4 linked regions of the Cricetulus griseus genome follow. The protein of the gene in region 1 purifies or fractionates together with the protein of each later gene. This does not show direct contact. Links are inferred from orthologs where the notes say so. Each region holds a gene or a part of one and is shown on either strand. Other genes may lie near its edges.

What was found.
Region 2: the proteins of Arrdc1 (region 1) and Nedd4l purify together in Homo sapiens (affinity purification with mass spectrometry; 3 studies listed by BioGRID and IntAct, counting the BioPlex papers as one, with this or other methods). This does not show direct contact. The link is inferred for Cricetulus griseus from reciprocal best matches to the Homo sapiens genes ARRDC1 and NEDD4L.
Region 3: the proteins of Arrdc1 (region 1) and Zmym2 purify together in Homo sapiens (affinity purification with mass spectrometry; 3 studies listed by BioGRID and IntAct, counting the BioPlex papers as one, with this or other methods). This does not show direct contact. The link is inferred for Cricetulus griseus from reciprocal best matches to the Homo sapiens genes ARRDC1 and ZMYM2.
Region 4: the proteins of Arrdc1 (region 1) and Hecw2 purify together in Homo sapiens (affinity purification with mass spectrometry; 3 studies listed by BioGRID and IntAct, counting the BioPlex papers as one, with this or other methods). This does not show direct contact. The link is inferred for Cricetulus griseus from reciprocal best matches to the Homo sapiens genes ARRDC1 and HECW2.

Annotation. Positions count from the first base shown.
Region 1 is NC_048599.1:136,275,464-136,282,889, forward strand, and holds the end of Arrdc1 (arrestin domain-containing protein 1), read right to left. Parts: intron 7,201-7,426; exon of another isoform or gene 7,007-7,200; intron 4,550-7,006; coding exon 4,439-4,549; intron 3,876-4,438; coding exon 3,825-3,875; intron 3,738-3,824; coding exon 3,583-3,737; intron 3,440-3,582; coding exon 3,257-3,439; intron 3,160-3,256; coding exon 2,983-3,159; intron 2,905-2,982; coding exon 2,466-2,904; intron 2,408-2,465; coding exon 2,334-2,407; coding exon of another isoform or gene 2,320-2,333; 3' UTR 2,062-2,319; downstream 1-2,061. UniProt on the Homo sapiens protein: Functions as an adapter recruiting ubiquitin-protein ligases to their specific substrates. Through an ubiquitination-dependent mechanism plays for instance a role in the incorporation of SLC11A2 into extracellular vesicles.
Region 2 is NC_048595.1:174,382,979-174,391,441, reverse strand, and holds the start of Nedd4l (E3 ubiquitin-protein ligase NEDD4-like), read left to right. Parts: upstream 1-3,442; 5' UTR 3,443-3,742; coding exon 3,743-3,790; intron 3,791-8,463. UniProt on the Homo sapiens protein: E3 ubiquitin-protein ligase that mediates the polyubiquitination of lysine and cysteine residues on target proteins and is thereby implicated in the regulation of various signaling pathways including autophagy, innate immunity or DNA repair.
Region 3 is NW_023276807.1:212,011,504-212,019,344, reverse strand, and holds part of Zmym2 (zinc finger MYM-type protein 2), read right to left. Parts: intron 4,279-7,841; coding exon 4,164-4,278; intron 3,604-4,163; coding exon of another isoform or gene 3,590-3,603; exon of another isoform or gene 3,589-3,589; coding exon 3,337-3,588; intron 1,984-3,336; coding exon 1,863-1,983; intron 83-1,862; coding exon 1-82. UniProt on the Homo sapiens protein: Involved in the negative regulation of transcription.
Region 4 is NC_048595.1:408,499,020-408,506,877, forward strand, and holds part of Hecw2 (E3 ubiquitin-protein ligase HECW2), read right to left. Parts: intron 6,113-7,858; coding exon 6,012-6,112; intron 5,618-6,011; coding exon 4,250-5,617; intron 2,984-4,249; coding exon 2,888-2,983; intron 1-2,887. UniProt on the Homo sapiens protein: E3 ubiquitin-protein ligase that mediates ubiquitination of TP73. Acts to stabilize TP73 and enhance activation of transcription by TP73. Involved in the regulation of mitotic metaphase/anaphase transition.

The sequences.
Region 1 (7,426 bases):
TCTGAGACGTCAAAAAAGAAGCAAAAGTGAGGTTTCATCGGCAAAAAATAATGAAGTCTTGAGTTTTGACAACCAGCCTAGACTCAGTATCACAGACTGAAAAATGGTTCTGCTAAGTTGACCACTGTGTTCATACACATACAGAGGAGAAAATGGACAGTACCCAGTGAGTACCGAGGATTCTTTAGGACAGCTGAGTTAAGGCTATTTATGATGAACGGAGCCCTTGTGGAGGTCATGGGAAACAGTCATGCACAGTCCTCTGTAACCATGGCCCAAACAGAGCCGTCTTCCCCAATCCACCTCTCCATCTCACCTTTTCCCCAAGACCTTTGTTTCAGATAACTGCAGCATAGCTTGCTTCTTTCCTAGCCTTTGTGCCTTAAATATAGCTGCCTCAGAAAAGCCTTACCTGCTCTCCTCACTTCTCATCTTTTATTCTGGATGTATTTTTCTCTGCAGCCTCTCCCCTCCATGTTATCTCTTATTTATTTTGGGTGTTACCTTTTGTTTTGTTAGAGTCTCATCATGTAGACCAAGCTGGCCGCAAACTCACAGAGATCTATCTACCTCTGCCCCCAAGTGCTATAATTAAAGATGCTCACCACCTTGCCAGGCTCCCTATACTCTTACATGACATACGGTGTATGACCACTGTTTTGTGTGTCATAGTGCTCACAACAATACCCTCCAGCAAATAAAACAAGAAAACCAACAACAACAAAACAAATATTGAAGAGGTTGAAACATAGGAGTAAACCTTTTACCAGACAAATAAGATGTGACTGACCTGTTAGAAGGCTACAGACCCTTCCACACCCAATTTGCAGTTAGCCATAATCACACTACAACTTAGTGACCATTGACTACCTATCTAGTGGCTCCTGCTCTAGGCAGGTGGGGTATGTCTGAGGGACAAGCCTGCTTCCCATTCCCATTTTCAAAGTGAGTGAACCAAAGTAAGGGAGTTGAGTGTATGCCCCCAGCCTGAGACAAGGTGGGATTCAAACGCAAGCTCTTCTTTCAACTGTAGGCCACACCGCTTCCAGAAGGTGTTTAAGAGATCTGTGGCCTACTTTCTGCCTTTCTCCAAGACCTACCTGTCCCACAGTATCAAATGTTAGCCAGGTATGTGGCTGCCCAGTGAAAGACCATGTTGCAAGGAGTAGACAATAACATGTTCCTAAAGACATTGGGGTGCAGACCTAGTTGGTTAAGTGATGTGAAATTTGGGGATACTGGCTGAGCACTGCCAGTATCCTGCGTTCTAGTACACCTTGTTTCCCGAAAGTCTGTGAGCTTGTTGTTGGTTACACTGGAAAGGTGGCCACCATGCCTAACAAAGCCGCTCTCTCCCATCAGAACTGAAACTTAACCAACTCCACAGTAACCACTTCCAGTGCAAACATTACATGTAAAGGACAACAGACCAGTGCTTGTTACCAGAGATGTTAAGGAGTATGAAGGCAACTATAGGGTGCCTCTGAAATGCTGCTCCAAGGAGCCTTTGTCTTTCATTCTTGCTCTAGGGACCAAGTTCATAGCTTCAAGGTCTTGTGTGTACAACAATGCTCAGAGCTGACAGTGACCTCATGCCCAAGAGTAGAGTTCTACTGCAAGCAAGTTCCTAACAAGTCCATGAATATTTCTGGTGGCCAGGCCTCCAAGCACACCATCTAGAACAATGGTTTGGAATGCAAGCCAGAGTGTTCCCAAGAACACCAGGAATATCCTTAAACAGACAGTGGGGAAATTAAAACTTAAACGTGGAAAGGAGTGGCTAGCACGGCTCTATCGGGGTCACATTCTCAGGGAATATAGAGGTGGGGTGCCAATGAGGTGAGGAATAAATACGCTTGAAGTAGAGTCTGAGGTAGGATTGGGCAGGCAGGTTGCCTCCTGAAGGGTATGGTGAAGGAAGGAGCTCTGGTGTGTGTGGGAGGGTGTCTTTCAGAGGTGAGGTCAAAGGAGGAGCTTAAGGGCTTGTATTCTTCAGGATCGGAGTCTGTACAGAGTGTCCACTTTGAGGCTAGGCTTAGGATGTGAAGACCAGCCACTTGCCCAGCTCTACAAATAAAGCGCTTTATTTATAGTCTCTCCAGGTCCCAGATCCCTGCCGCCCTACCCCATCCTCTCGAGAAGAGGACTGATTAATTCCAGAGGAGCCAGGAGAGGCTGGTCCACAAGGGGTCGTCCCATCGGCTGCAGGTCCTGAGTAGCTGGGCCAGGTAGAGAGCAAAGGCACGAGGCCCTGGGCATCTTGTCCCAGGGCAAAGGCCAGGTCCACCGAAGAAGGTGGCAAGGGTTAGCTCACCAGGGTCAGCTCCCTGGGATCAGGCCAGGGTCTGTACTGGCACTACAGCTCTGCTCATAAGATGGTGGAGCCTCTGTGGAGAGAAAGCAGGATCTACAAGGGGTTCAAGGCACCCTCACTTCCTCCCCCAGCCCCTGTCATTCCCACTCACCATAGGGGTAGCCCCATGAACTGTACTCTGGGGGAAGAATCAAGGCGCTGGTGGTGGGTACTGGGCCCCCGGAGCCTTCTGCAAAGTAGGGGACAGTGGCACCTATAGAGATGCACAAGGGAGGGTGCAGAGAATGTCGAGCAGGGCTTCCAACCTGAACACAGGGATCAATGGTGGCAACAGACATAGAACCCATAGTAGCTGACAGTGGCTGCTGCTGAGAATGGCTCTTGGTAGACAGGGAAACTGGGTCTGAGACGTGGGGGCCACTAGCCACTGCCTCAGCCTCTTCCTGGGGTGGTGCAGAGGGCACAACTGAGGACAAGGCCCCAGGAGAAGACCCTGGGCCTGGACAGGGGCTCAGTGGGGTTTGGTTCACAGCAATATTGCCAACAAAGAGTGGGAGAGTCACGGTGGCTTCAGGTGCCTTCAGGGAGACCTGGAAAGAATGCAGGTATTGAGGAGTCAGGCCAAGGTCACCTAGCCTCAGGCCACCCAGCCCTGGGCAACACCAAACCTGTAGGTAATAGTCGATGTGGATAAGGCTGCAGCCAGGCAGGGCTGACTGGGGAAGGGCAGGCACCAGGATCTGTTCTTGCCACTGAGCACGCCTCCAGGCCTTGACACCTGTACCTTCCACCTCTGCAATGGTTCGCACATCATAGATCCAGCGCTTGGCCTTATAGGATACCTTCTAAGGAAAGACCAGACTGTGGGCTTGGGCAGACCAGCAACCCACCCCTTCTGCCCCATGGGAAAGGGACAGGCTTAGGAAGCCAGAGGGCTCTGACCTGGAGCAAGCTGGCCACCACAGGGCTAGTGTCCTTGCCTGACTGGTTCTCAATGTCAGCCTGCAGTCGAAGCACCTGTCCCACCACATAGCCACGAAGGTCAGTGCTAGCTGTGAGAACCACACTGCCCGTCTTCACCAACTTGTAGGAGAACTTCTTGGTAGTGGAGGCCACATTGGGTTGCTTAAAGTGAAAATGGGCAGAGCTTATGAAGTGAGTACAGAATGCATGCCTGTGGCGTGTGGACAGGCCCTCAGCCTGCAGATCCTGGCTGCCTGGTCTGAGAAGGCTGAAGGTAACCAAGGAAGCCTCTCTTTCATCCTCACCTCAATATCTGGGATGCTGTTCAGGTTCAGGGGGCTTAGGATATAGAACACGAGGCTACATTTGTGATCCTTGGAAAAACGTGGAGTATCGATGGAGGCCTTCACTTGGTGTACAATCTTTCCAAAGGGTCCCTCAAAAGATGTGGGTGCTGTGGCTATGGAGAAAACAGGGATTGGCTGGCACCTCCCACCTGCAGGTCCCACCATTTCAAGGCTGCTGTCCCCACAAGCTTTCCACTCACCAGGCAGCAGGAACTGAAAGGGGAAGTTGTGCTCTCCAGCTGGCAGACTTCCTACAGAGACAAGAAGGAGGTGGGAGCGAACCAGAGGAGATCCATAATGGACACAGTGCCAGACTAGAAGTAGACACTACAGTCCACACTACTGTCTCCGGCACTGTAACAGTATGGTCATAGCAGGAACTAAAGACTACATAGAAGGGCTTGGTTTAAATGAGGGTGTGTGGCTGGAAATGTAGTTGGTAGTGTTTGCCTAGCATACACAAAGCTCTGGTTCAATTCCAAGGACTATGTAAACCAGTTAGGGTAGCACACCCCTGGGAGATGGAAGCATAAGTTTAAGGGCATCCTCAGATAAATAACATAGCTTGGGCTACATAAAACCCTGTCTCAAAAACAAATAAATACAAATTTTAAAAATAAAATTAGAAGCAGGAAGGTGGTTAAGGCAGAGGATGGGATGAAACTGTCATACTGAGGGTCAGAGCCCACCCAGACCCAGTACCAGAGAGTAGGATAGAGTGAAAATCCAAGAGACAGTTGTTGGGGGGGGGGATAGATTGACCCCATTCCAGGCAAGGGTTGCCCCTGTGATCACTCCTGACTCCCACACTCACCCTTGTCAGCCAGTGACAGGGAGCTGTTGAAGTAGCTCTCCTCCACCACCCATGCCCCATCGTTGGCCTTGTTGGAGACCCCACAGGAACCCATGCAGGTCACCCGGATAGCTGTAAGGGGAAGGGTGGCATAAGCCTAAACCAGCTAATGGCCTAGGCTCCTCCCTGTTCCCAGCACAGGAATTCATGTAGGGCTGGAAGTACCCATGGGTTAAGCAGCCTTACCAGCAGAGGTACTTGGGAAGGCCAAGACACAAACAGCCTGTTATCTTCCCAAGAATACCTCCTGGCCATCCCCCATTTTAGTGTTCTTCCAGGGAGCCAGACTGGCAAAGAAACTAATAGGCAGTGTTTCATCTGTCCTACAGACAGTAGGAGGCCAATAATCTCCTAGATAATCCCAGGGCTACCCCCAAATTGGCTACCTCAGCCTCTAGCCAGACTTAGAGGAAAAACCAGGTGCCTTTTGTTTTATGATGCAAATCAGTTAGGCCAGGAGATGCCCCTTCAGTCTCAAGAAAGCTAATGCCAGCTCTCTCCCAGCAGGAATGCAGTCAAACCTGTCTGAGCCAGTCAGCAATCTAGCACTGGAAGGCCAGCCCTGACTTACTTCCTGAGCAACAGTGCCCAGGAGGCTGACTTTCTACACTATGCAGTAGCTGGTCCTCCCCCACCAGTGGGAGTACCCAGAACAGGAACCACTAGAGACAGAGTTCAAATTCCTCTGTCTAACAGACACATCCTGGGTCCACTGTGATCAGGTAGCCATGGGTGAATGAGGAGGCACAGCTGAAACTGGTCACAAAGGAGAAGGCTCAGGCAAGATGGTAGATAGGTGGGAGCCTATAAGAGGCACCCTGAAGTAACTCCCTTCTCCCTTTAGGGTTGGGTCATGGTTTCAGCCCTTTTCCCAGACTTATTTGACAGGCTCATGGGAGGGGTAAGATTGTTTGTTCAGACTCTTTCATCTTTGTGACAAAGCCACCAAGAAGGAGGAACAAAGATATCCAAGTACCTAGTTGACCACACCCGCCTCACTTATAGTCGTCCTACATCATGCTCCAGGCATCCTGCTGGTTACCCACAGAACACTAAGTTTTCTCTTATAAACCTTTGGCTCATCCTCAACCCATGTAGCTATGCACATATGCACTCCCTCACCTGATGACTGCCAGCCAGCACCTGTTCCCACTCTCGAGGTGGTCCTGCATTCCTGCTGTACCATTCCAACCTTATCACCCTAACCTCCAACCTGATCTGAAGTTCACACACTTCTGACATAACCTCTGAAGTTAAACCACCAACTATTCACACCCTGGAATCTGAACATCAGTGGCCTCTGAAAAGTTTCTGCACCCCATAAGCCTCTCCGCCAACGCAGCAACTCAAATTAGACCAAATAAGAAAATGCCCACGTTTAATGGGTAAAACACTCCCGTATGATTTTTGCCCCCCAACCCCAGGAGACAGGAGAGACAAGAAAACCACCTGTTTTCTGGGGGACAGTTTAAATACTCTGTGGGGGTAGTCTTGAGCATCTCTGGGGGAGGAGCCCTGTTTGAAGGGCTTTCTGGGATGGGGCAGGGTTTGGGAAGAGAGAGATGGGGGATGGGTACTGAGGTGTAACTTCCACCAGAACAGCCTCTATAGGCCAGTAAATAGTTCTGAGTTGACAGGGGTAAGAGGACCAAAAATCTGCTGGAGGACACAAGATGTTTCACAAAGGGCACATCTCCCTAAGGATGATCAGCCCCACATCAGATACAAAAGGAAGTATGGAAGGCTCAGCTTAGTCCAGATGCTACCATAGTGCTATCAGGATGCCTACAGTGAATGGCACAGAGCTATTCAAATTCTTCATCCTCAATGAATGAGCAGTAACAAGCTCATTACTTTAGCTGTTCAGTGTAGGGGTAGTTTGTTATTTGAATGACCTTTTTGTAGCAATAGATTACTGGAACCAATACCCAACCATACTGGAAATGAGGAAAAACCCAGGTGACTTACATGTTTACTCATCAGAACGACAACTATTAAGTACTTTGACCCATGTTGAGGTGGGGATGGAGGAGTAGACACTCCTTATAGTGACAAACTTGTGTTTGCACCTATACACGCCAGGACACCCATCAGCTCTCAAACCCTACACTATTTCATTAGGAGTCTCTCATGGCTCTGCCTATAACAACAAGCAAGCATCCAGACTGGACTTCCTACAGTTCAGGCACAGGAGCATGGGACCATTAGACTCCAGAAAAACAAGCAGCATTCACACTGGGAGTAGGGGGGGATCAGACTCTGATCTTCCCAATGCCAGGCATTTTCCCACACAACAGGGTTCCTGGGAGGACCCTGCCAGTGTGAACAGCCTCTAGCCACCAAGGTGAACACACATCCTGTGCTGCTCACAGCTTGCAAACAATATGCCTGCTGCTTCCTCAACAAAATATCTGAGGTTACTTCTTTGTCTCAGCAGGATCACAATCAAGGTGTAAAAATTCCCCCAGAAAATTCCTCAAAGATCCTAGGTTCACTAGCCAAGGACAGTGCCAGCCGCCAGGTATGTACCTTCTCAAATCACTGGAGCAGGGAAAACCACATAAAACAGTTCTGCTTGAGAAATAAGGGAGTTCTGAGCATACTAGGTGGTCTCTCTGCTGCTGCTGTTGCTGCTGTTGCTGCTTCTGCTGTTGCTGCTTCTGCTGCTGCTGCTGCTGCAAGGTGATGGACCTAGCTGTCTTTCATTTACAGTCTGCATATGCCTGTGGTGGTAAGAATAGGCAGGCTGGAGGCAATCACCCGATAAAGGATCCTGATTTCCTGGCTTTTAGTGTTCCTGCTGCTTAATATTACAGTCCTATCACTCTGCTCCCATGCAAAGGTATCTTCTCTGGGAGGCAATCATGGTCCTCTCACCAGCTCATACCCTGCAACACAGCCAGGAAACCAGGGCAAGTGTGTTCTAGCAAGTCCTACAGAGCATCAAGT
Region 2 (8,463 bases), on another chromosome or scaffold:
TCACTTTAGGACTGGATATATTTTGTGTAGCTTGGTGTGGCCTTGAACTAACAGAGCTCTGTCTACCTCTTAATTCTTAGTCCTGGGATTAAAGGTGTGTGCCTGGCTTCTCTGGTTGCGGCTGATTTTGCTTTCTGAATCCTTAGGCAAGCTCTAATAAATCATAATTAATATATCACCACATGCAGGTAGGTCTCAGGCTAACCTGCATGTGAGGATCACCTGAGTTGCTTCTGTAACCACCGATACCTGCCCTCCTCCACTGACCTTGGGAGGACAACCTGCTTTTTGTCTACTTTTAAAGCTCCCCAGATGCTTCTACCCTGCATCCAGTGTACAAGACCACTGCACTGGGAGAAAGCTGGTACACAGTTACAAAGGACATTGATAGTTTGAAGTGCGGTTTTTTTTTTTTTTGTTTGTTTGTTTTTTAATGGCTTGGTGCTCTGCATCTCCTGGTAGCCAAAGTAACAAACAAACAAACAAACAAACAAAAATCACAATCGGAAGGGGCAGGTATGGGTGTGGTGGGGGTTTCCGACACCAGTGCATGCCTTTAATCCCAACACTAAGGAGGCAGAGACAGGTGGATCTCTGTGAGTTTGAGGCCAGTGGTCTACAGAGCAAGTTCCAGGACAGCCAAGGATACACAGAGAAACCCTGTCTCTATAAAACACAAAACCAAACCAACAATAAATAAAACTTTTTTTAAAATTTTAACCATCCATAGGAATTTATCAGTTCCTTGAAATGCAGTAAAGTTTCTTTCACAGACCTCCAAGTAAATGTTTTGTTTGAATCTGCTCATCTGGGATGCTGAATGAAGTTACAGATTGTAATTTTGTAAACTGTCCATAATAAATGATGAACAGCAAATTTCCTATGAATATTTTAATATAAACTTTTATTGATTCTTTGAGAATGTAATACACACATACCATGTATTTTGATCACGACCATGGCCCACTTCTCATATCCATCCCTCAGTGAATGTCAAGGGCATGACCCAGACTGCAGGTGGCATAGGCTGTTTTGTTGCAGGTGGGGAGGGAGCAGGATGACGAAGAACAGGATGAAGAAGTATGACACCCTTCTACAGTGTCCAGATGACTCAGCCTGTTGTATGACTTTTCCTGGGGAGAGATGAACAGATGTATATTCATCTCTGGTAGGACACGATGAAATACTTTCTCTACTGTAGCTTAGTGAACCGATGATCACTTAAAGGGACATGGATGACTCAAATACAGCTGCGTCATGGAAAAGCCCATCTATATGGTCATGAATAGTTGCTCCATGGATAGGCTGCATCCCTGGAACTCCCTGCCCAACTTCCAGGGAGTGCCACTGGAGAGCTGGCCTTTCTCTCAACAATTTACTGTTTTTATGTAACCAGCTCAGGGCTTGTAAGCCTTATAACTGTCTGGGGGAGTCTGCCTCGATCCTGGAGAGAATGTTTCTATTTGGAGAGACTAGTTGTTTAAGTCAGCCTTACCTCTAGGATCAGAAATGAACATTTTTCTTAAAATTTGTTTTATTTATATGTGTATGTCTGCATGCGTGTGTGCCCATATGTGAAGACGGAAGTACTCATTTGATCCTGTGCAGTTCCAGTTACAGGCATTCGAAGGAGGATAGGCTTGTAACCAAATCATCTCTGGAAACCCCCCCCCCCCCGCCAGAAAGATGGTTTTCTTTCTGGAGTTTATTAGCTCTTTCTACTGACCTTGTAACATAAGGTGCAAATTTGACAAAGTTCTGCTTGTGTATATTAAGGAACTTCCATTTATATGGGTCAGAGGCACAGAGAAGGGCGTGTAAAATGAGTGTGTGTGTGTGTGTGTGTGTGTGTGTGTGTCCGTGTACTTTTTATAAAAAAGAAAAATAGTCTAGGTTTGATAAGTTGAAAATTCTTGATGGGAAAACACGAGCAGAGTTCTGGGAAATGTTCCTTCACAATCTTTATTTTTCTTGGTAGGGCTCTTGTGGCACCTAAGCGCCATATAAACTTGATGGCTCTGAATTCCGAGGATTCGGAGCAGTGTGTTGATTCCACAAGGCTGGCTTCAAAGGAAAGCTATTACATGGGACACATTGCAAGGGATGAAAGGGAGAGCTAAAGTTGGGGAGTGTGGGACCGCCTTTCAGGGTGTACACCAGGTATTTGATCATTAAGGTGGGCCAGGCAAGGTGACTCTGTTGATCTGTTCTCTCTTCCTTCAGTGAAAATCCTAACCTCCCAGACAAAACCAGACACTCTGATGATTTCTTTTTAAAGGAAAATAGCACGTTCTTTCTGTTCTTGTTTCTAATTTACCACTGCACACAACACTTATTTTTAGGATCGAATGCCTTCCTTTTGTTTTTGTTTTTTTTTTTTGTTTGGGTTTTTTGGTTTTTCGAGACAGGGTTCTCTGTGGCTTTGGAGGCTGTCCTGGAACTCACTCTGTAGACCAGATTGGCCTTGAACTCGCAGAGATCTGCCTGCCTCTGCCTCCCCAGTACTGGGATTAAAAGGCGTGTGCCACCACGGCTGGCTCTTAGGGGAGGCTTCTTGAAAAAAGTAGAGTGACGAATTTCTCTTAACTTATTTAAAGTAGCTTCTTGCATTCCTGTACTTCGAAAGATTAAATGAAGGGCTTGCTAGAGAAATTCCCTATCTGGAATGTGGGAAGACTCCTACGGTGGCTAATAAGACGTCTCCAAGGTTTGCATATGTAAAGGACAAACTTAAAGTTGAATTTGGTATTTCACGTTGTGCCTTACAAAAAAAGCCCGAGCTTTTATCAAAGAACCAGGCAGCCCGGTTTCAAGTGGGTGGGTGTGTACTCAGCGCGGGCGCAGAGTTGGTTTTGTTCCCAGTAGAGTTGACATCGGCAATGGCGACTCGCGGCCACAACGGGGCAGCCTCTCCTAGGCTGGCCGCCCGGCCAGGCGAATCCTTTCGGGGAGCTGACGCGGTGAGCCAAGTCTGGCCTGCCATAGCTGCCAAGAATTTAAAGGGGGTCTAGAAACATGCATCGTCGCCCCTTTAACGCTCCTGGAGACTTCGGGTTAAGAAAAAAAAAAGAAAGATAAAAATGGAAACAATGGTTTTGTTGTTGTTTGCACGGCGTCTTCATGGTCCCCCTAAGGTCCACTCCACCGGGTCCCCAAGGCAGAGAAAAGCGGGGCAAGTAAGAGGGTCAGCCCGGCAGGCCCAGCCCGCCAGGGCGCGCCCCAGTCCAGGACTCTGCGGCGGGTGACCCAGGAGGCGCTGGGGGTGGGGTGGGCGTGGGGCGAAACACCACCACCCCCGCGGCCCGCCCCCCAACCCGGCCTGTGATTGGCTTGGGGGGCGCCAGTGCCCGCCCCGGCGAACGGGAGGGTCGCCGTGGGCGCCGGGCGGCGCAGGCGGGGCGGAGAGGGCGGGCCGGGCGGAGCAGGCGAGGGGCGGGGGCGCGGGTCCCAGGGATCGCTGAGCGGGGCTTGGGGAGGCCGGGAGAGCCAGCGGCGGGGGCGGGAGCCCGCGGGCTGAGCGCTGAGCAGAGAGAGCGCTCGGCCAGCCGCCGCTCGGCGCGCTCTCGGAGCCGCCAGTCCGCGCGTCCCCGCAGCCTTCCGGGAGGAAGCGGCGCCGCGGCCGGGTGCAGCCTCACCTGCCGGCCCTTCCCCGCCCGGCGGCGCAGAAGGACAGAGGGTCGCGGCCCCGCGACGCACTTCAGCCGATCGCAGCGTCTAGGACCCCGCGCGGGGCGCCGGCTCCATGGCGACCGGGCTCGGGGAGCCCGTCTACGGACTTTCGGAAGAGGAGGTGAGTTTCTGCCTAGAGCGTTGTGGGGAGAGGACGGGGCCACTCCGCTGCGCGCGTCCCTTGCTAGCAGTGGGTCCCGGAATCCGGGTGACCCAGAGCGGTCCGGAGCGGTGGGTGACTTGTCCGGGTGAAGCGCTCCGCTCCTCTGCCCGGGGCTCTCGGGGTGGGCGGAGGCCGCGTGAGTCGCTGCCCCGCGGGTCCCTTTCCTCTGCAAGCTGCGTCTCTCAGGGCTGTTAGGCAACTTTCCTGGTCATGCCCCTGCAGCCAGGAGTCCGTGACAAGTGTCACGTCTGGGTCGCTGCAGGGGTCTCTGCGTGGCGCAGGCTATCTGGGGATTGTTGAGGAGCCTGGTGGTGTCTCCTTCTGGGACTTTTCTTGCTAGTGGGCGCTCGGCAGCGGATGTGTGCAGATCCCGGGGGGGGGGGGGGTGACACCGGGAGAGTTGTGTACGGCCGCCCCTGGGTCTTGCAAAGTCTGGAGCTGGGATTGTGCGTTTCGAACTCCTCTATTTTGGTGTGTGGAGGTGATCTGAGAAGGAGGCAGGTGCTGCAGGAAACTTAGGGGAAGCTTGCAGCCCTGCCATTTCTCCTTCGTCAAGAGGATTCAAAGCCCCGCACCTCTGGGGTGGGTGGAGAGAAGAAAGCTCCATTGATCTCTTTTATTAATAAAACGAATGAAATAAGCCACACCCCCAAACGGTCGGTTTGACTGGAGAGGGCTTTGTTTTTAAAAAATCTCACTCGCTCATCGCGGTCCCCACTCCCCCTTTTGAAAGGATCCTGCTAAATCACTGCTCAGCCCTCACTCGACCAGCCATTCTCGACTCTTATTGGTGTGTTGCTCTGCCAAAAAGGGGGGTGGGAGGCCTGTCGCGGGCTCGGAGTGACAGGCAGGCTGGATGGAGCAGGTAGGAGTGGTTCGCCATCTGGCGGGGTGCGCGCCCAGGTCTGGCTCCCCTTTCGAGAGGTGAATTTACAACCCATGAAGCATTACTCAGCGGGGAGGTATTTCCTATCCTGGTTGTGCATTTCATGAAAAGTGGATGCCTGGAAATTTGGGCTTTCTTGATTTCTCTTTCTTACCCTCGCTCCTTTCTTTCTGAGGTTCTCTCTTTCTCTGGAGATGGGGGTGGGGTTTAAAGAGAGTCTATTATGTGAGACCGATTCACAGATTCACGTTATGGCTTTGCTTTCAGCAGCTTCCCTATTGGCATGTGTGTGTGTGTGTGTGTGTGTGTGTGTGTGTGTGTGTGTGTGTGTGTACTGCTTTCCTACTGTGGCATGGTGTGTGAGTGTGTGTATTCTACCTAAGTGTGGAATGAAATGGGTATCTTGAGGTAGGCAGGGCATGTAAGGGTTGATTTTATTTTTTGATAGTGCTTGCTGGATTGCTTATTTTATCAAAGAATGATCACAATGCAAATAATGTGTGATATGTTTTTGATTATTTGTCATGCTTGTGTAAAATAAAGTGTGTGTGTGTGTGTGTGTGTGTGTGTGTGTGTGTGTGTGTGTGTGTGCTGTTAGCTGTTACCTGGAGATGGGTGAAAGTAGACTTGTTTTGTTTACCCAGGGGATTCTCCTCCTAGCTCCTTGTCTAGAGCTGGAGGGCAGTCTGAGCTCTTGGAGGTGCTGAGATACTGAACAAAGGGCTCCCTGGATGAGGTATCAAGGGAGATGAAGACAGCTGCGTTTCTTCTTAGGGTCTCTTAATTTTTAAAAATAACATGCTTATTTTTAAAAGCTCCTTGAAAGAAATATTTTAAGGGTGTTTTGGGAAATGTATCTGCCTAAAGGAATCCTATCTGTCACTGGTGTGCGCGCGCTTTGTTTATGCTGGCAGCCAGTGTCAGAATCCACCTCAGGAGCATCTTGACACTTTTGTCTCCGAGAATCGCTGCTGATCCTGACTGGTGTGGGGTGTCAAAGTGGAGAACATAGACACAAGAACCGAGTGTGCCTGTGACTGTTCGCTCCTGCGTATTGTCAGAGGGACTGTATAGGGAATAGCAAGAGGAGATGAAAAACACTATTTATGTATTCTGTTTAGTTCCTCAAACATCATATATGATCCAAAATAAGCTGCATCTGCCTCCCTTTTTCATTTTTCTATCACCAATAGAAAATGATTGCCTTCATATTTCTAAGGCAATTGTTTGGTGTGGGAGGTTTCCCTCTGTTCAGGGAGGGGGCCATTTGAAGACATACAGAACTCCTTCATATAGTATTAACACCAAATTGTTAAATTTGCTTGCTTTGTCGCCTCTCCCGAATTAGTGTGTAAGCAAACAAATGAGAGTAATTAACAGGCTCTGAAAGTGGACTGCCTGATGAAATGAACAGCACTAGAGGCTTGTCAAGTTGTGTTAAATAGTGAGCACCAGAGGGCTGCAAGTATCACATGGAGACACCCGTGTAGGGGTAGAGAGGAGTCTACTTGTAGACCTTGAGAAAATCGGGCACTGTACCCAGGGTTTCCTTGTAGGTAGACATGTGTTCATGTTTGATAGTGGCAGAAAGCTTTATGTATTTGGAAGGAACTTAGTCATGCCCCATCTTATAAAGCCACTGTGAGCTATGTACTGCTATTGGTCAAGCATAGTGCTAACCTAGAGCATAGCAGGATGGCAGGGCCAAGACATCGCTGCTTGGGGCATCAGCCTAAGGTCTGGCTAGTGTACTGAATGAGAAGGATTAAGATATAGGTTTTGCTTCTGTGGGTGTATGTGCTACGTATGCATTGCAGCTGTATTTCCTTGGGTGACTTCTAATTCATACTCACTATAATTTAAGGCATGTCAGTTTCAGAAACCAAAATTGAAATCACTATTAGATGAGTTTTGGTATTGAAGGGATAAGCTAACGAACAACAGTTCATATTCATGGCTGAGGATAAGATTTGGTTTGGAATCAGAAAGGTTTGGACTAGTTTCTGCATCTGGGTTGGGTCCTTGAAGGGCTTTTTCTTGTTTGAGTTTATTTGTGGCCATCTGTAGCCTGTTTTGGTAAGGTTTACTCATGAATATTACTGTTACTCTTTTGAAACCTGTCATTACACCTGAGAAAGGTATCAGTTTTTTTTGTTTTTGGTTTTGTTTTTTTTTGGGGGGGGGAGATTTTCCTATTGGGTGAGATGTCAAGAGTTTGAATGACACCCGTCTGAAAAGATTAGCTATGGTACCCCAGCATATAGAGACAGAAGAAGGGATGGTGAGCTTGAGGACAGCCTGCACTAAAAGCCAGAACCTTGTCACAAATAGACAGACAAACCATGAAACACACAAACAAAAAACAACAACAACAACAACAAAAACACAACCAAAACCAAATAAAACAATGGGATATGTCACTTAACATATTTCTGGTGGCTAGAATGGGGTAAATGACATAGAAATGAAGGTCAGGCTGACATAAGATGGTACTTGGATGTATCTCTTATTCCATGTGGACAACTGTATGCAGTAAGGACTAAGCCTTAAGCATGTGTCATCTAACTTGTGCTTCATTGAAACTCTTGAGGTATGGTGTCATTTCTGGCTGAGGAATGGAAGCTAAGAGAGCTTAAATGAACTGTGTGACAACACTCGAAAGTAGGCCTGTTGGCCCCAGAGCCCTAGTTTTTAAAGTTTGCTCCCAGATCTCCCTTTTTGTCAAAGCATATTGCAAGGTTTTCATAGATAGATTACTCATGATCTTGGAAAATGAGCTAAACATTGTGGGTTTGTTTGGGTTGACCAAAATTGACGGCTAGCTCTCATTAGTGTGGTCTCCATAGTGTGTTAAAGCTTGGGAGGGTTCGTGAAAAATGATGAGAAATGTAGCTTCTCTGGGTCACGTTCTCACCTGGCGACAGTTAGGAGCATTATATGCCTCCCCTGTGTGGTAGTGTGTGTAGTAGCCACAGTCAGCGCTCTTCTCTATGACCTTAGGGGTCTCTACTGATTTGTATGTAATTATAAACTTGCTAATGAACACTTAAGGTTAACTTGGCCGTAATTGCATATTGGATTTGTTTCAAGGCCCTGACCAACTTAAGATGCATCATTATTTCATGTGCCACTAAGAAAAAAACAAATACTGCTGTCAAAGTAAGACATACTGTCAATTTTAGGAAGCATCTGTATTTCATAGATGTTAAAGTTTGAAACAAGGATATTTCAGAAGAGATGAGTTCTATTAGAAGAAACATGGTTATTTACTCTAACTGGTCGGCACCAGAGTCTGTAGTAGTGGAACTTTTTTTTATTTTCATTGTTTTGATGCTCTGGCTTGAATTCAGAGCTTTGCCTATGAAGCAAATGCTTCCCCACTGAGCTTGCAGCTTCAGGTTAGCACTGTCAAGATTTCTGCCTTTTTATCTGTAGCTGCACCTGCATCTGAGCAAGGGTTAGAGCGAGAGGAACAGTCTTTGATGGGCATTAGCAGGGAAGAAGCCAGAGGCTCCATGTTGCCGTTCAAACAGCCATCTGTAAGCTCATGTCTAAAGTGTGTCTGGACAGACCTCGAACACCACCATCTTGGCAGTTGTGGAAGACATTCAGGACAAGACTGCTTTTCGGAAGTCACGTGTTTGTGTCCTAAGGTGTGTGGGCGGCTGGACTGCCTTCCCAATCATGTTATCCCTACTGCTCTGTCAGGGCTGTTGTACTCCCTCATATGCTGTGTAACCAGGGC
Region 3 (7,841 bases), on another chromosome or scaffold:
GTACCACACAGGGCTATCTGCAGAACTAGAACATTCTGGTTGCAAATAAAAAACATCCATTCTCTGATTAAGATTCTGTGGACTTTGGAGGAAGAGAGAGATAAAGGTCAATTTCATGTAACAGAATGAAATTCGCCATAACTTTACTTATTTCAAGAACAACTCAGCCCCCAGCATCAGATGTGCTCAATGCCTTCTGCCTCATTAACCGCATTGTTTTATCAGTAAATTGTTCTCTTAAGTTTTGTGATAAAAGCATGAGCTCCCTACTATAATTCTAATCCTGTATTTCATAGAATCCAAGACTCCATTAATATATACACTATTTTTTTTAGTCATGTTTATATTGGTGCCAATTATAATCTCAAATGCATTAATTTAACAGTGCATGTCCATTTCAGGAAAAGGGAAATGCAAAAAAAAAAAAATGACTTAAAATGATGAAAATATGCAGCATAGTAAAGTCTTACAGCATTATACAAAAGAAAGAAAGAAAGAAAGAAAGAAAAGGGGAAAAAACCCAAACATTAAATACCAACAAGACAATACTGAGAAAGGAACTCCCATCTGGCAAATAGTCACCAACACTGGAAATAAATGAAACTAAATTGATGCTCCAGAACAGAGCTGAAGAGAAGAAACCTACTCTTACACTTGTTACAAACATGGTCATGCTAAAGGTAAAGTTCATACTTTTATAAGTTCTTGACAGCCACCCTGGAAACCACACTACAATGTGAGAAGTTGTTTACAAACCCAACTCTGCACTTTCTGAAAGTCAGAGTGCTTATTTAAAACACTCAAAATGAAACCATCTGACAGAGGACTGACTCAACAAAGCCTGCTAATTCCAGACAGGATGACAGCAGTCATGCAACTGGAGGACCTTCCAAAGAATGTCTTCAAAAAACTGTTTTCTTTCACATCTAGATTTTTTTTTTTTTTTTTTTTTGGTTTTTCAAGACAGGGTTTCTCTGTGTAGCTTTGGAGCCTATCCTGGCACTCGCTCTGTAGACCAGGCTAGCCTCGAACTCACAGAGATCGCCTGTCTCTGCCTCCCGAGTGCTGGGACTAAAAGCGTGTGCCACCAATGCCCGGCTATAAATATTTTATTTTCATCTCTACCCATTGTACCTACTTTGAAAGACATCTACCTTTGCACTAGGCAAACAGTGGCCAGCAACCTGTATAAAGCCATGTACCGTGAACTTACTATTATACAATATATGGCCTCTTCTAGTTGTAGTAAGACAATCAAGTAGATAGAGACTAAATACCCAAAAACCTAAAATAGTTACCTCTAAATAGAAAGTTTGTGTCCCTGCTTAGCAAGCAACAGAACTGCTCTAATATAAAAGACAATAGCAGAGTGATACTTTTAATAGAGCAACTGCTTAACACGGAGGGAAGCCTAAAGCCTATGTGGTTGGTATTTCACAAGAGGACTCTAAAGTTAAAGTAGAATATAACTTTGGAATATAAACTTTCATTTAAACAAAGAAAGAAATCTCAAAAAATGGTAAATGTCACTTCTTAATGGGGTGTGCGTTAGTGCATGCGTGTTATATTGGTTTTTCATGACAGAGTTTCACTGTGTAGCCCTGGCTGTCCTGGAGCTCTCTCTGGAGACCAGGCTGGCCTTGAACTCACAGAGACCTCTTCCTCTGCCTCCTGAGTGCTGGGATTAAAGGTGTGCACCATCACTGCCCAACAATACCATCATTTAATAGTGTTCAATTCAACCAACTTATACAAACATCTTAAAAAGTCAAGTATCAGGCTGAGCATGTAGATCAGTGGTAGAGCCACCAGTTCAATACCCCAGTACTACAAAATAAAAGTCAAATATCAATAATGTTCACCTTTTAGACAAGTAGCATTCAAACATTTTCACAGGACATCTAGAAGGGTTGGCTGTGTTTTCAATTTGTTCAAATACTGGCTCATCATCTTCATGTTTTCGTTTTCCAGTAGCAATTTTATCTTTAAAAAGCAACAATAACAAAAGTAAGCTTCCTAAAACCAATCGTTTTTTCTTTCTTGTGTATATGTGTATGTATGTTATGTGTATGAATGTGGGCACAGTGTGCCACAGCGTAGATGAGGTCAGAGGAGTTTTGAAAGTCAGTTCTTGTCTTCCACCTATCCTAGGCAGGCTCTCTCTGCTTCTGAACTGCATACTCCAGGCTAGCTGGACTATGAGCTTCCTGGTGATTCTCCCATCTACCTCTCTTCTCCCCATAGGGTGCTGAGATTACAGGTGCACCCTACTGCATCTAGCTTTTTATGTGGGCTCCAGAATTCCAATTCAAGTGGTCAGACATGTGCAACAACTGATTTCACTCACTGGTTTTACTTACCAACACCCTAAAACCAGTTCTGAGGAAAGAAATTACTATTCATCCATAGCACCTGTTTTATCAACATTGGATTAGGTTCTCTTCAGAGTTTTCTGTGTGGTAGGTTTTGATAATGTGTATCTTTCCAACAAAAGGAACTGAGAGGCTAAGAATACAGCTCAGTTGGCAGCTGGTAGAATGCTTGCCTAGTATGCCTGATGCCCAAGTTTGAACATCAGCTAAGCATAAAAACAGGTGCAATGTTTCATGCAGGTAGTCTCAGCAAAGGAAGGAGGACTGCACAGTTCCAAGGTCATTCTTTGATATAATGTTTAAGGCCAGTTTGAATTAGAACTCCAATCTCAAAACAAATAACAAAAAGAAACGAAGACATTTTAAGATACAGTTTGAAGGCAGAGGCAGAAGGATATCTAGGAGTTTGAGGCCATCTTGGTCTACACAGGGAGTTCCAGACTAGCCAAAGATACACAGGTAAGACCATGTCTCAAGAAATAAAGGAAAGAAAGAAAGAAAGAAAGAAAGAAAGAAAGAAAGAAAGAAAGAAAGGAAGGAAGGAAGGAAGGAAGGAAGGAAGGAAGGAAGGAAGGAAGGAAGGAAGGAAGGAAGGAAGGAAAAGGGGGGAATCACAACACATTTTGTTGTGTTTTATGAAAGCAATTGTCTTTAGGTTCTTAATGACTGGTTGAGGTGGGCTTTGATAGAAAAAGTTTGACTATTCCCATCACAAACAATCTCTAAATAAAAATGCTATAATACCAGGGCCAGTGATGGCTCAGAGGTTAAGAACACTTACTGCTCTTGCAGAAGACCTTGGTTTAGTTCCTAGAATCTGTATGGTGTCTTAAAATCATTCATACCTCCAGTTCCAAGGGATCTGACACCCTTATGGCACCCTGAGGCACTGCATATATGTGGTGTATAGGCAAAACACACAGAAAATAAAGATAAATTTTGATTTTAAAAGAAATTATACTACCTTCATTGTCTGTTCCACATAAGGAAGACACCTGGTAACGAAGACATGCTTTGTTTTCCATTGTTAAAGGATTTTTTTTCCAATGCCTAAACACGGTGCCAAAGGAAAGTCTTAAGTGTTGTTCCACTGTTTTCAGGCCAAAATACTTAGTGTTAAAGTAGAACAGGGTGTTCAAAAGAGCTACTGGAGAGTGTGATCCTAGTTGTTTTATCCTCCAGAGATAGTCTTCTTCAACCCGAGAGAATATTGACCCTTAAATAGAGAGAACTATTTTAAAAGAATTATAAATACAACAGTTTAAATTTAACCATGTAGAAATAAAAGTGAATTTAAAACATCCCAATGCCAATCCACTTTCCACATTAGGTCAATGTGAATGAACCTGAAAATTACATATTAGCTCTTTTAACAATATAAAAGGTTGGGGAACAGTGTATGGAACCACCATCCACAGAATAAGGTACAGGATGCTAGCTTCTGTCCTTCAGTAGGACAAACAAGTTATGATCAGAAAATAATTTAAAATATGTATAATCCTTGAAAACAACATGTGCTTCCCAGAAACAAATACATTTTCGTCACATCAGAATCTGTATATTGTTGGTCTTAAGACATAAATATCTAACCTTGCACTCTTCCTCAGAGTAGGCCACTTGTTTTACAAAGTTCTTCAAAAGCATTAGTTACTGACTATTTATTTGCAAATGAGCTCATGGGCACAAGCTCTTACTTTCTAATTTAAATCATACCTAACTATACTTAACATACTTTCTATAAAAACAACAATTCCATTAGCAACTATTAACACATATTAAAAAGAAAATTACCATCTGGAAGGATGCTTGGTTGCCAACTTCGGAGTATTTTACTCAATTCTTGCTCAAACATCTGGTATCCTGGATCAATAAATATGTTGTCCTTTCGATTACTACCACATAAGTACTACAAAAAAAATTATTGGAGGAAAACCAGCTAATTATAAGCAGTCAATGTATTGTACTTTTCATTTCTTAAGAAAAAGTTTTATGTTTAAGAAAAGCAAGGATTCTAATAAACACAAGAGATTACTGGCCATGGGTATGTGTGTACAATGGAAAAAGCATGAATTACCAATTAACCTGTTGCTTAAAACATGCAAAGCTGGAAAGTATAACACAAAATCCTGAATATAAACACTGGATAAGAATCATTAGTCTAGGCCACAGAAATGGTTTAACAAGTAAAGCATTTGCCATGCAAAAAGCATGACATGCAAGGGACCTCAGAACCCACTCTACAACATTGTCCTCTGATTGCCATCTGTTCAGTGTGGCATACACAAACTTTCATCATACATACACACACACTCGCTCAGTGGTCTGTCAGACACAATATAGAATCCTCAATTTATATCACACATGGAGAAAAATAATCATTTTAAAGAATAATTAATGATTAAAGGAAAACATTGAGGAGCTAGCTGGCTGCCTCTGCTCTCCCAATCTTCTGCCAATCCTCTGGTTGGGCTTTTGAAAATGCCGAGAACCTAACCAGGGTGGAGCACCTGTCTAATGTGCTCAAGGGCCCGGGCATTATTTCCAGGATAGCAGAAATCAAAACAGGAACAATATTTTCACTTGAAAACTAAACAATTTATAGGAGAGTTCAGGTCCTTTATAGTATGACTTTACCATCACTCTTTATACTTCATACCTGACACCTACCCATGTTAAACATGGTTCCTGGGAAACTGCCTGACTCTGTCTTCTAGGGATGCCATTTCCTTTCATCCTTTCTGTCTACAAAATTTCTATCTGTATTTCAAAAAAATTCAATTTAAAGTCTTTCATGCTGTGTACACGTTTGTGCAACATACATGTGCATGCACATGCATGTGGAGGCCATACGTGAACACCGAATGTCTTCCTTAATTGCTTCTCCACTTGTTTTATGAGACAGAATCTCTCATTGAACATGGAGCTCAATGATTCAGGTATACTACCTGGCCAGGAAGCCCTAGGAAACCCCATCTCCTCCTTCCTAGAACTGGGATTATAAGCAAATACTTGGCTTTTTACATGGATCCAAATTCAGAACCTCAAGCTTGTGCTGCAAACACTTTATCAACTGAGCTATATCCTTGCCCCATTGGATAGAATTGATAGATACTTGTCCCAAAACTGTTCTACAGATAATCTTTGGGTAGAGGACCATATATTTCAAATCCTTGAGCAAACCATATTATAGTAGCCTCCCTTGCTATTCTCCCTCATGGCCCTTGCCTCAAACTTACAATCCCCCTGCCTCACAGATGTTAGCATGCACCATGTACCATGCCTGGTTTATAATGATTTTCTAAGTCAAACTGAACAGATTCTATTTGATTTTTTCTTTTGTTGTTTTTTCTTTTTTTCTGGGGGGGGTCGTCTTTGTGGGGTTTTTTGTTTTTTGGTTTTTTTTGTTTTTTTTGAGACAGGGTCTTGCTATGTATCCCAGACAAGCGAAGAACTCACAATGCAACACCCAGGCTGACCTCACATTCATAAGCCTACCTGCCTCAGCCCCCACAAATACCATGCTAACCATACTCAGTCCAGATTCAAAACTTACGAATTACATAATTTAGAAAAGCTACTACTTATAGCATCTCTCTTCATCAGAACAAGGCAAAAAATAAAGAGTAGGTACATCCAATGCTTAGAATGTGTATACAGAAAATCAAATGTTAGCAATTAGTTAATGAAATCTATCAACACGAGTATGCCAATTTCTAAAACACATCAATGTCCAGTAAACAGAAAATATTAAAATGAAGGAGTAGCAAGACTCAAGCTTGCTTCATAAATTTACACATATTTTATAGTATTAATAAATGCTGCAGTCTTAAAGTCTCATGAATAAAAAAAAAGTTGATTGTATTTAATTAGCAGTTACTAAAAACTACTCATTTGTATAGAACTTGAAGTTGGAGGTTTCTGTCCCACCAGGTCTTGCCGCCCGTCAGCCCCAAATGATAGGCAGGAAGTATAGGCAGAGCTAAGAGAGGAAAGAAGAGGAGACATTGTGAAGCCACAAGAGAGATGCCATGTAGAGACCAGGGAGATGGGATGTGCCAGTGGTTCTCTGGTAAGATAAGGCCATGTAGAAATACATATATTAGTAGTTATGGGTTAATAATTAAGAGAGAGCTAGCCAGTAAGAAGCCCTAGCCTTTGGCAACAGTTTATAAATTAATATAAGTCTTTCTGTGTTTATTTGGAGCTAATTGGCTACTGGACCAGGCTGGAAAGAAACTCCAGCAACAGAACTACACGGGCCATTGCTCTACTCTTTCTTAAATTTATAAACATAGTGCAAAGCTTTAAAACAAAATCTTACTACATTCCTACGTCTAAAATACTCAAAGGTTAAACCCTAGAATAAATTCTGGGATGATGTCAAGTTTCTCTCTAGAGAGGCTAGCTAGGGACTTGAAAGAGAGAGAAATCTATCAGCATAGACTATGAAATTCTCAAAGAATGAAAATATTAAAAACAACAAATAAACCTTCAAAACTAACCAATCAAGCAACCAAAAAACCTAGAAGCTCATTTTTAGGATATGTTTAGAAGGTGCTTTAAAATAAAATTTTATATAGACTCTAAAACACAATGAAAATAAAGATATGGATTAAAGTAACAAGAAAGGCCTAAAACTTTCTCTCCTTTCCCACTGAACCCCAGGGCTCTGTTTTACACAGAAAAATAGTTGATCTTTACATCTGCATGGTCAAAAATCATGTCTCATGAAACAAAGGGCATATAAAGTTACTTAGCATTGTTAGTGTGGTCTAGGTACATATATTTTTACCCTGTATAGAAACATGAGCAACTCTAAAGGGAATTCTGAAGCTAACCATCTATGAATTCATTTTCTTGCAACTACTAAAAAATGATGTCATCCCCAAACAGACAACACTTTTAAGACTCCTCACAAAAGATGCATGAGGCTAGGCATGGTGGTGCATATGGTAATTCCAGCATGTAGGAGGCAGAGGGAGGTGGGTTTCTGTGGGTCTTAGGTCAGCCAGGGATATACAGTGAGATCCTGTTTTAAAAAACAAAAACAAAACAAAACAAAAAAAAACAAAAACAAAAACAAAAAAGGGGGGACACAGTTGAGCTAAGTCAATTGTTTTTTGGTTTTTGTCTTGATACAAAATATCTAGGAAAATATTTTATGTGCCCTAGGTATCTTTTATATACCCTAGATATTTCCAAAGAGATTAAATTCTACCTTTCTTGGTAAGCAAACAGAAATTCCGGAAACCTGAGACTGGAGAAATGACTCACCCAAGAACACTGCTCAATAATGAAGATCAGAGTTCAGATACAGCACCCACATCATGAAACTCACAAACACCTATAAACACTGGCTCCAAGGTATCTGATACTTTCTCTGGCCTCTGTGGACATTCATACACACATGTGCATACATACATACACATATAAATTACATAAACATTTTAAAGTTCTAGAAAATGAAGC
Region 4 (7,858 bases), on another chromosome or scaffold:
TATTTATTTATTTATTTATTTATTTATTTATTTATTTAGTAGTAGTAGTAGTAGTAGTAGTAGTAGTAGTAGTAGTAGTAGTATTTTGGTTTGTCAAGCCAGGGTTTCTCTGTGTCACCCCGGCTGTCCTGGAACTCACTTTGTAGATCAGGCTGGCCTCAAACTCTGAGATCTGTCTGCCTCTGCCTCCCAAGTACTGGGATTAAAGGTGTGTGTGTGTGTGTGTGTGTGTGTGTGTGTGTGTGTGTGTATGTGTGTGACCATTGCCCAACTCCAGTTTGGGTTTTTAACTCTTTGAAAAACAATGTAAGTTATGAGGTACTTTTTCTCAGCATATGGTAGGATACAAACACAAGATAAAAATAAGAAGAGCCAAGTTTGAGAGACATTCAAATCCAAAGTGCACTGGTTCCATGGCTTGTCCTGTGAGGATGGGGATAGCAAAGCACAGACAGAGCAAAGTGTGCTGCTCATCTAGACACAAAGGCTGAACAGGACAAATCTATCTGGGTTACTTAAAGGTGGCTCACACAGTTACAGTGACTCCTTTCATAAGGTAGGGACTTCCCCAGACAGGGTCCTACTGCATAAGCCTCTCCCACAAGAAGAGAAAAGTTCACCTCCCCAGGTTTGACTTAAAACACAATACAAATGAGGTTGCAGCAAAATTCCCAAACCTTCTAATGTGCCTTAAGTGTTTCTGGCACCTAATAAACAGCATGCAACCATAAAAACCACCTCAGTGCCTCTAGACAGTTTTGTATTCATTTGTCCACACACCTCGATTCTCTTCTAGCCTTGGATTAGACTGCTGGGTCTAGGAGAAGGAATGGCTCTGATTCAGTTTTTCCTAGCCAGGGACCATCAACAAGTTCCTCAGTTTATCCAGACTTCATGCACACGGAACAAAAATCACCCTTGTAACATGAAGAATAAAAACACAGAGACAGAAGTAGCATAAAAAGGCTGGGTCGGGAGGGGATAGACAGCTAGCAGGAACAGACAAGATGAGCTATGAGAATAGATACACAGCTGAACAGTCTTCAGATAGGAAGACCCCAGCCTCCCGTTACAAGTCTGCAAACTTCCAAGCTGATTGTTCCTGTAACACATGTATATATCTCATTTTTATAAAGACATACTTTAAGATCTGAGCTTTTGAAATGAAAAGACCTGGTTATATATTCTTCTTGAAATGTCATTTGCTGAGTAGGTGTGGACACTTGCCTCTCCGAAAGCATACTAGAAGTTTAGATGGGACAAATCTTTGTTTTCCAGATTGTCCTGCCATCTTCAGATGTTTGGCATCCCTGCCCCCTCCTCCTGAAGCCCAGCACCACACCGTTATGAAGGAAGGAAGTTGATGGACTTAAAATATCGTCTGTGGGGGCTGGCTGGCACCCAGAACCACTACTGAAAGCAACTGAACAGGTATAGGTCTTACGATTTATCTCCTGTACACTAATCACTCACTAAACAAGACATATGACTAAATCACTTTTGCTCTTTGAGTTTATCACCTTATTAAACTAAAATGCCAACTGTTTGCCAAAAAAACCAATTATCCACACAGTTCTATTTATCAGTGTTTAAACAAGGCGATTGAAATATTGTGAATAGGACCCTGATTTCAGCAAGAAAGCATCTCTTTTAAAAATGTAAGCTCTACATCAAAATTATGTCCAACAGATCCCAGAGGAACTCCACCTGTCTGGAGGGTGCTTGTCGCCAGAACACTCATGCAAAGCTATGCTTCCTTTTCCAATGCTCAGAAACTCTGTGACTGATCCACGTAAACATACAAAGCTCTCCCACTACTCTCTCCTGATGTTCCCAGTCCATTGTGCTCCAATCATACCAAAATATCCCCCAGGAATAGTATTTAATCTTTACCCAAAGGTATGAAAAAGTGAGAAATCTGTGTACAATGGAATTCCAGAATGATCAAGCAGTTATACTGACAAACTACAGTAGTAGCAAATGGCTCTTGTCCGCTCCCTCCTGATCACACCATTGAGTATTTCAGCATCAGAACTGCTTGCTGCTTCTCTTCACAACCCAGTATTTCAAGTATATGAAGGCCCATGTGTGTCAAGACAGGTGAGTGGAGAGAAGAGCAGAGGGTGAAGAATGGGGAAAACCACAGGTCATGAGGGCATCTCTCCGGCTGCTTCTCCAACACCGAATCTACAGAGCTGTGTGCTCAGCCACCACAGCGAGCTGTTCTCAACATATTGTTGTAAGAGACTCAGGAACTTTAAATAGAATTCATATTTCATGCTGCTTAAGAGTAGGCTAGTACCACTTAGACTGTGAACCATTTCCCCCACACCCCTAGTCCTCAACCATCTATTAAAGTGCTCAGTGTATTCTGAAGTAAAAAGAACAAAACACCCTTTAAACCATCAAGCAATGGTTATATCCCCCAAAACTGTAGGCTAATTTCTGAAGTTAGTAACATGCCCTATATATCCTTAAGGAAGAACTAAGATCCTTGTGCTTAGTGTAAACTGACAGAAGAAAGGAAATCCCATACTAATAGTACAGGGTGAGGTCCTTCTAAGACAGTTCCCCATTTTGCCTACTCACTGAATGAAAATCATGCTGCTGTGAGACATAATTCAAAAAATTCTCTTAGGCAACGAATGCCTGAGATACATGGATGAACTTCCACAATTATGGCATTTAACATGGGCAGAACAATGTTTGTTCTTCCTAGCTGCCCTTTCATTTAGAATAGTACCAGAGAGTAGTGACCATACAGAGCATCCCAGATGACAGCCACTTGGTCATCTCCTAGACACCTTCTTCTCCAGGACCCATGGAATGGATCTGCCTGTCACTCTTGCACACTGCCAGTATAAGCCTTTAGCTAACAGCTGCTCACTTGGTGGGAGAGCCTCGTCCACCCTCTGGTACCGACTGACGTCCTGTCTCACTGAAGGTAGTGACCGCAACGGCTGGTGCCCATTGGCTTGAGAACCTAGGATTAAAGATAAAGGTTACCAAGTTACCTGGCTACTGTTTTTATGAGTGTTCATGTGTGTGCACACACACATATGCACACACACACCACACAATAAAAGAACAGACATCTAGGATACATGTGCTGGCACATATATGTAATCCCAGGGCCCAGCAGATTGAGGCAGGAGGATGGACAGTTTTAGGCTAGCCCAGGCTAGCATAAAAAACAAGCAAACAAACACCTCAAATATCAATCCCAATTTGTCTATGCTCTCTTATCTCATTTCCCACATGAGTGTAGGGGCTCAGAAGAGGTGACCCAAGAGAAATGTCCCCAGCGTGCATCTTTCCTTACCCCTCACGGCCTCTAACTTGCTCATGCACTAACACTTTAGGGTCACAAAATGGCCAGAGGTTAATGAAAAGCAAAATAGGAGTCAGAGGGAAAGAAAATGGTAATTTAGGTAGAAAAGTAAATCACACGATAAGAAAATAATTCCTAGGCCTGGGATGTACCTCATTCATACAGGGCTTGCCTGCCATATCAACTCAAGGTCCTAGCATCAATTCCTACTCCAAAAGAAAAGGAATAACTCCTGTTTTGAGTCTTTGATATTTAGGCACCTCAAACTGCCCTTTCTCTTTTTATGGCCTCTCTCTACAACATTTTGCATAAATCATTCCTGGGAGCCATGTTCACTAAAATCCAGTACAGATTTTTCAGCTGAGCTTGAAACTTCGGGCACTTACGCAATGCTCTCTCCCGTTTTCCCTCTTCATGCATCAGAACTATCGCTTAACACAGCTGACCTCTTTGGACAGAGTTGTGATGAAAAGCCCACACTATCTGATCCAGAGCTGTAACAAAGAGGTACTCCTGATAGCCCCTACACATTACATTAAGGTAGTGACTGGTTTTGCATCTTGTTTAAGATTGAAGGCTGCTGTTTGCCAGGCCTCGTATGGTAGCAGTAGATGATCCATGTTTTAAAAAGACTGAATTTGAACTGAGGTCTATGTGCCTGGAAACCATGGCATCTTCTTTCCCAGCTATGTGAATGGTGAACGATTAAGTCCCTAAGTCTGGCCTCTCCAGATCTGGACTGGTAGGCCTGATGCACAAGAAGGGCTTCAGCTATCCATATTCCTTACCTGCTTCCATTTCTTCCCTTTCTTATTCCTTTTGCTAAACTGCATTATAATCTACATGGAGGGAAACTGTAAGAGTTCTTTTTGAGCAGTTTTGCCTAAACCAAGAGTCATGCTGTCTTCTATATCCTACCTCCAGTGGCGCCCTCCTCCTGGCCAGTGGCCTCTTCACAGGCACCTTGGGTGTCTCCAGCATCCCCATCTTCTTGGGGCTCTCTCTCAGTGGCAGCAGCAGGAGCAGCAGCAGCCCCCTCCAGACTCCCCCTCCTCTGCCAGACCTCCCCCAGCTCTCCCTGCTCAGATAAAGCAGCGACTTCAGCCCCTGGCTCTTCCTCTTCCCTACTGGGCACCTGCACAGCAGGTAAAGAACCAGGAGTGCAGATGGACTCTTGCGACCCCTCTGTAGGGCCGCTGCTGGTGGGCTCAGCTGCACAGGCCCCATCTTCCTCTTCCTGAGAAGAAAAGGCTGGGGTTTCTGGATATCGCGCACTCTCCAGAGATGAGCACCGTGTCTCCACCGAGGACAGCTGTGTGGTCACGCTGTCATTGCATGAGCTGTCAGCACCTTCCAGGTCACTCTCTCCCTCAGGTCTGGTGCTGGCCTCACTCACACTCTCTGTCCTGGCAGGGTCACTAGGTTCTGTCTCAGAGGACACCTGGGAAGGTTCAGAACCCTGGTCCAGGGACTCAGTCTCACTGGCAGCTCTGCGGCTCCCTCCGGATGTGTCAGAGGCTCCCGTGTCTGCACCACTTGTGGGCTGATCAGCCTCTTGAGAGCCTGACAATTCAGTGCTGCCCTGGTCAGCACTGGGATGGGGCTCTAGGCTGGCTTCATTGTCATCAGGGGCTGCAGTTGAGGGCAAGGTACCATCTGCAACCTCTGGAAGGCTCTCTGGTCTCTCTTCTAAGGAAGCGGCTTCATGAACAGAGGCATCCTCATTCTCAACAGGGTTGTCCTCCTCTGGCTTGGTCTGAGATGCCAGGCTCCCAGCATCACTTCTGGATGCCCTGCTGAACATGATCAAACCTCCTTCCTCCTCCAAGGAAGATGGGTAACCTAGGTCTTGCTGGAACTCGTGGTCTTCTTCATCTGAGTCAATGTGAAGCATTGCATTAAGTCTTGTATCAGTGGGAAAACTACTCCTCAGTTTGGGAGAGGCTCCTATGGGCCGCTCGGAGGAGGTGGCTGCCCCTGGCCTGGAGGGTCCATTGTGTTCAATAGCATCTAAATAATCATTGAGTGAATCCTGGCGGCCTCTGGGAGGTGAGGTTCTTGAGGAAGTAGAGATTAAGTCCTCGGTGTCCATCTCCAGAGTAGAGCTAGTCCTGAAAGAATGCTTGGGGGTTCCATCTGCAGCGCTGTCCTCAGACACTGGCCCATTGGCACAAACAGTGCTGTCATGATGGCTTCCTGGTATATCCTCGTCATCTGAAGGGCTGCCCAGATCTCCGTTAACAGTGTTGACTCCGAGAATGGTGCCAACAGCTTCTGGAGATGCATCTGAGAAGGAAAGCAGCACTTGTGAGCAGGAGGAAGAAGACAGAAAGCTCAACTATCCTGACACTAACCAGTTCGCTGAGTTCCATCATCCCACCTGACCCAGGCAGCATCCCTGGCTGCTAGGATCCTCTACTCCTTGCTACACTTGCATGAAGTTTGGTACAAGAGTAGTAGATGCCCGCTCCTGCAAGAAACTTCAGCCTAGTTTCAGAATTCAAACATAACTCTTAGAGCAACCTTTGCTAAGCAGACTTTGCTAAGTGCTTTGACAGCCGACAGGCCATCACTGGAAAGCTATTCCAGCTTGCACTGGACACACAACAATCCTGCTTACATGCTAACTATCAACTGGGCAGATCTGACACATGCTTATGTGTTTACACAGACACCTCACCTTCGTGAACAGAAGACGTGACTTCTACTTTAAACTGGAGGTAGCCACTCACGTGGTCAGCTGGGAGCCTTCTGCCGAGGTTGTAGCTGAGCATTTGGTCACTGCGGGAGGAGAAATGGCCCTTCATCCTGATTGTGCCTTCGCCTTCTTCCCACAGGCCACCCCCACATCCCACAGACTGCCCTTGGAACTTTCAGAATTTTAAGTAAAAACAGGCTCAAGCACAATATGACCTGATGTGTTATATTATTCATTTGCACAAGTGACCCAGGGATAAAAGAAAGTCTTGCTATAGGACACATTAAAGGAGAGAGAGAGAGAGAGAGGGAGAGAGAGAGAGAGAGAGAGAGAGAGAGAGAGAGAGAGAGAGAGAGAGAGAGAGAGAGAGCCATAGGAGAACAGGCTGCTCCTGGATGGCAGCTCCAACTCTGTGAGTAGGAGAGGGTGCTGACCTCACCTTTCTCACATGCAAAATAAGGAATGGGACTGCTGGTTCCCATTCTCTGGGACCCTGGCCTTCCACTGAGTCTCAGGTCCTAACAAGGTGTTCTGCAATGAGGGAGAAGACCACACCCCATGACTGGTGCTAGAGGGGACCACAATGGGACTCTCATTTTTGGGCCTGCGGTAGTGCTAGCCTTAGACGTCCAGCTTTCCTAAAGATTGAATTATCCAGGTATTTCAAGTCCATATCGATTTCCCAGATTCAAATGCAAGCAACTCTGAGTCAAATAATTTACTTCAATCACAGAAAACCAAAAGGCTATTGGAATCACACCATTTCTGCTCTCACACCGCCCTCTACTGGCCATTTCGGAAAGAGATGTGTCTGCACCATTGTACAGCTTTGCAGTATCAACACACATAGCTTTGTTTTGTGAACAAGCTCTTAAGAAAGAAAAAAAAAAAAATCGCAGTTTACCAATGGGTAAGTCACCTGAATTCCTACTCAAGTTCCTAGACGTTTCCTTTTATGATATGTGACTTCTGTCCTAGATTGATGCTACCAAATGTTTTGATCATCATACAGAGTGTTCACTGAGTGACATGCACATGCTGCTGAGGGATCTAGGGATTTGCTGTTCTTTACTCCCCTGGGCACTGGGCAGGACACATCAACCCTGCTTTCTAGCGGGAGACATGAAGGCACAGCTAGGAAGTTCCTGGGTGACAGATCCAGGATGAGACATATTTTATCCTGTTGCAGAAGCCCCTGCCGGGCAGCCCTGATAACACAAGTTCATTTTACAGTCTCTGTGATTCCAGGCTGCTTTTGGTGGAGTCCCTTTTACCACAATTCTTTCTTGTGGGATACCTGAATGCAGCTATCGGTACTCTTGCTGAACTGGGAGTTGAACCAGATATTTCCCTGGGATGTCTGATAGAACCGCATGACAGCTATTACAGGCATATAAAAGCCAGGGATGCCTCTTTCTGTTCCATGCTGCTGCATTCCTGTGTCTCAGGCATTTAGAGAGCACACACAGAAGTGCTTGCACACTTGTGTGTGTGCCCAGCAGCAGTAGTGCCCCTGTCTCTACTTCCTGGTTTTTCTTCCATCTCTTCTGACATTCAGTCCTCTGAATCATTTCCTTGTTTAAAGACTGATGGCTCCTCCCTTCGTCTGCCAAAAAATAATGATGCTAATGATGGAATGTTCTCAAATCGATGGGTAAGGTGGGGTATGAGTGTTCTATAAGAGTTGCACTGAAAGGACTGTGCCCATCTGTTTGTCTCGTCTCTTATACCCAACACAGCTCTTGACATTTATTAGGCACTTAATGTATACATAATAACCAACTGTCAAATGAGAACCTTTACTTGGAAGAATTTTAACTGAGAAAAGT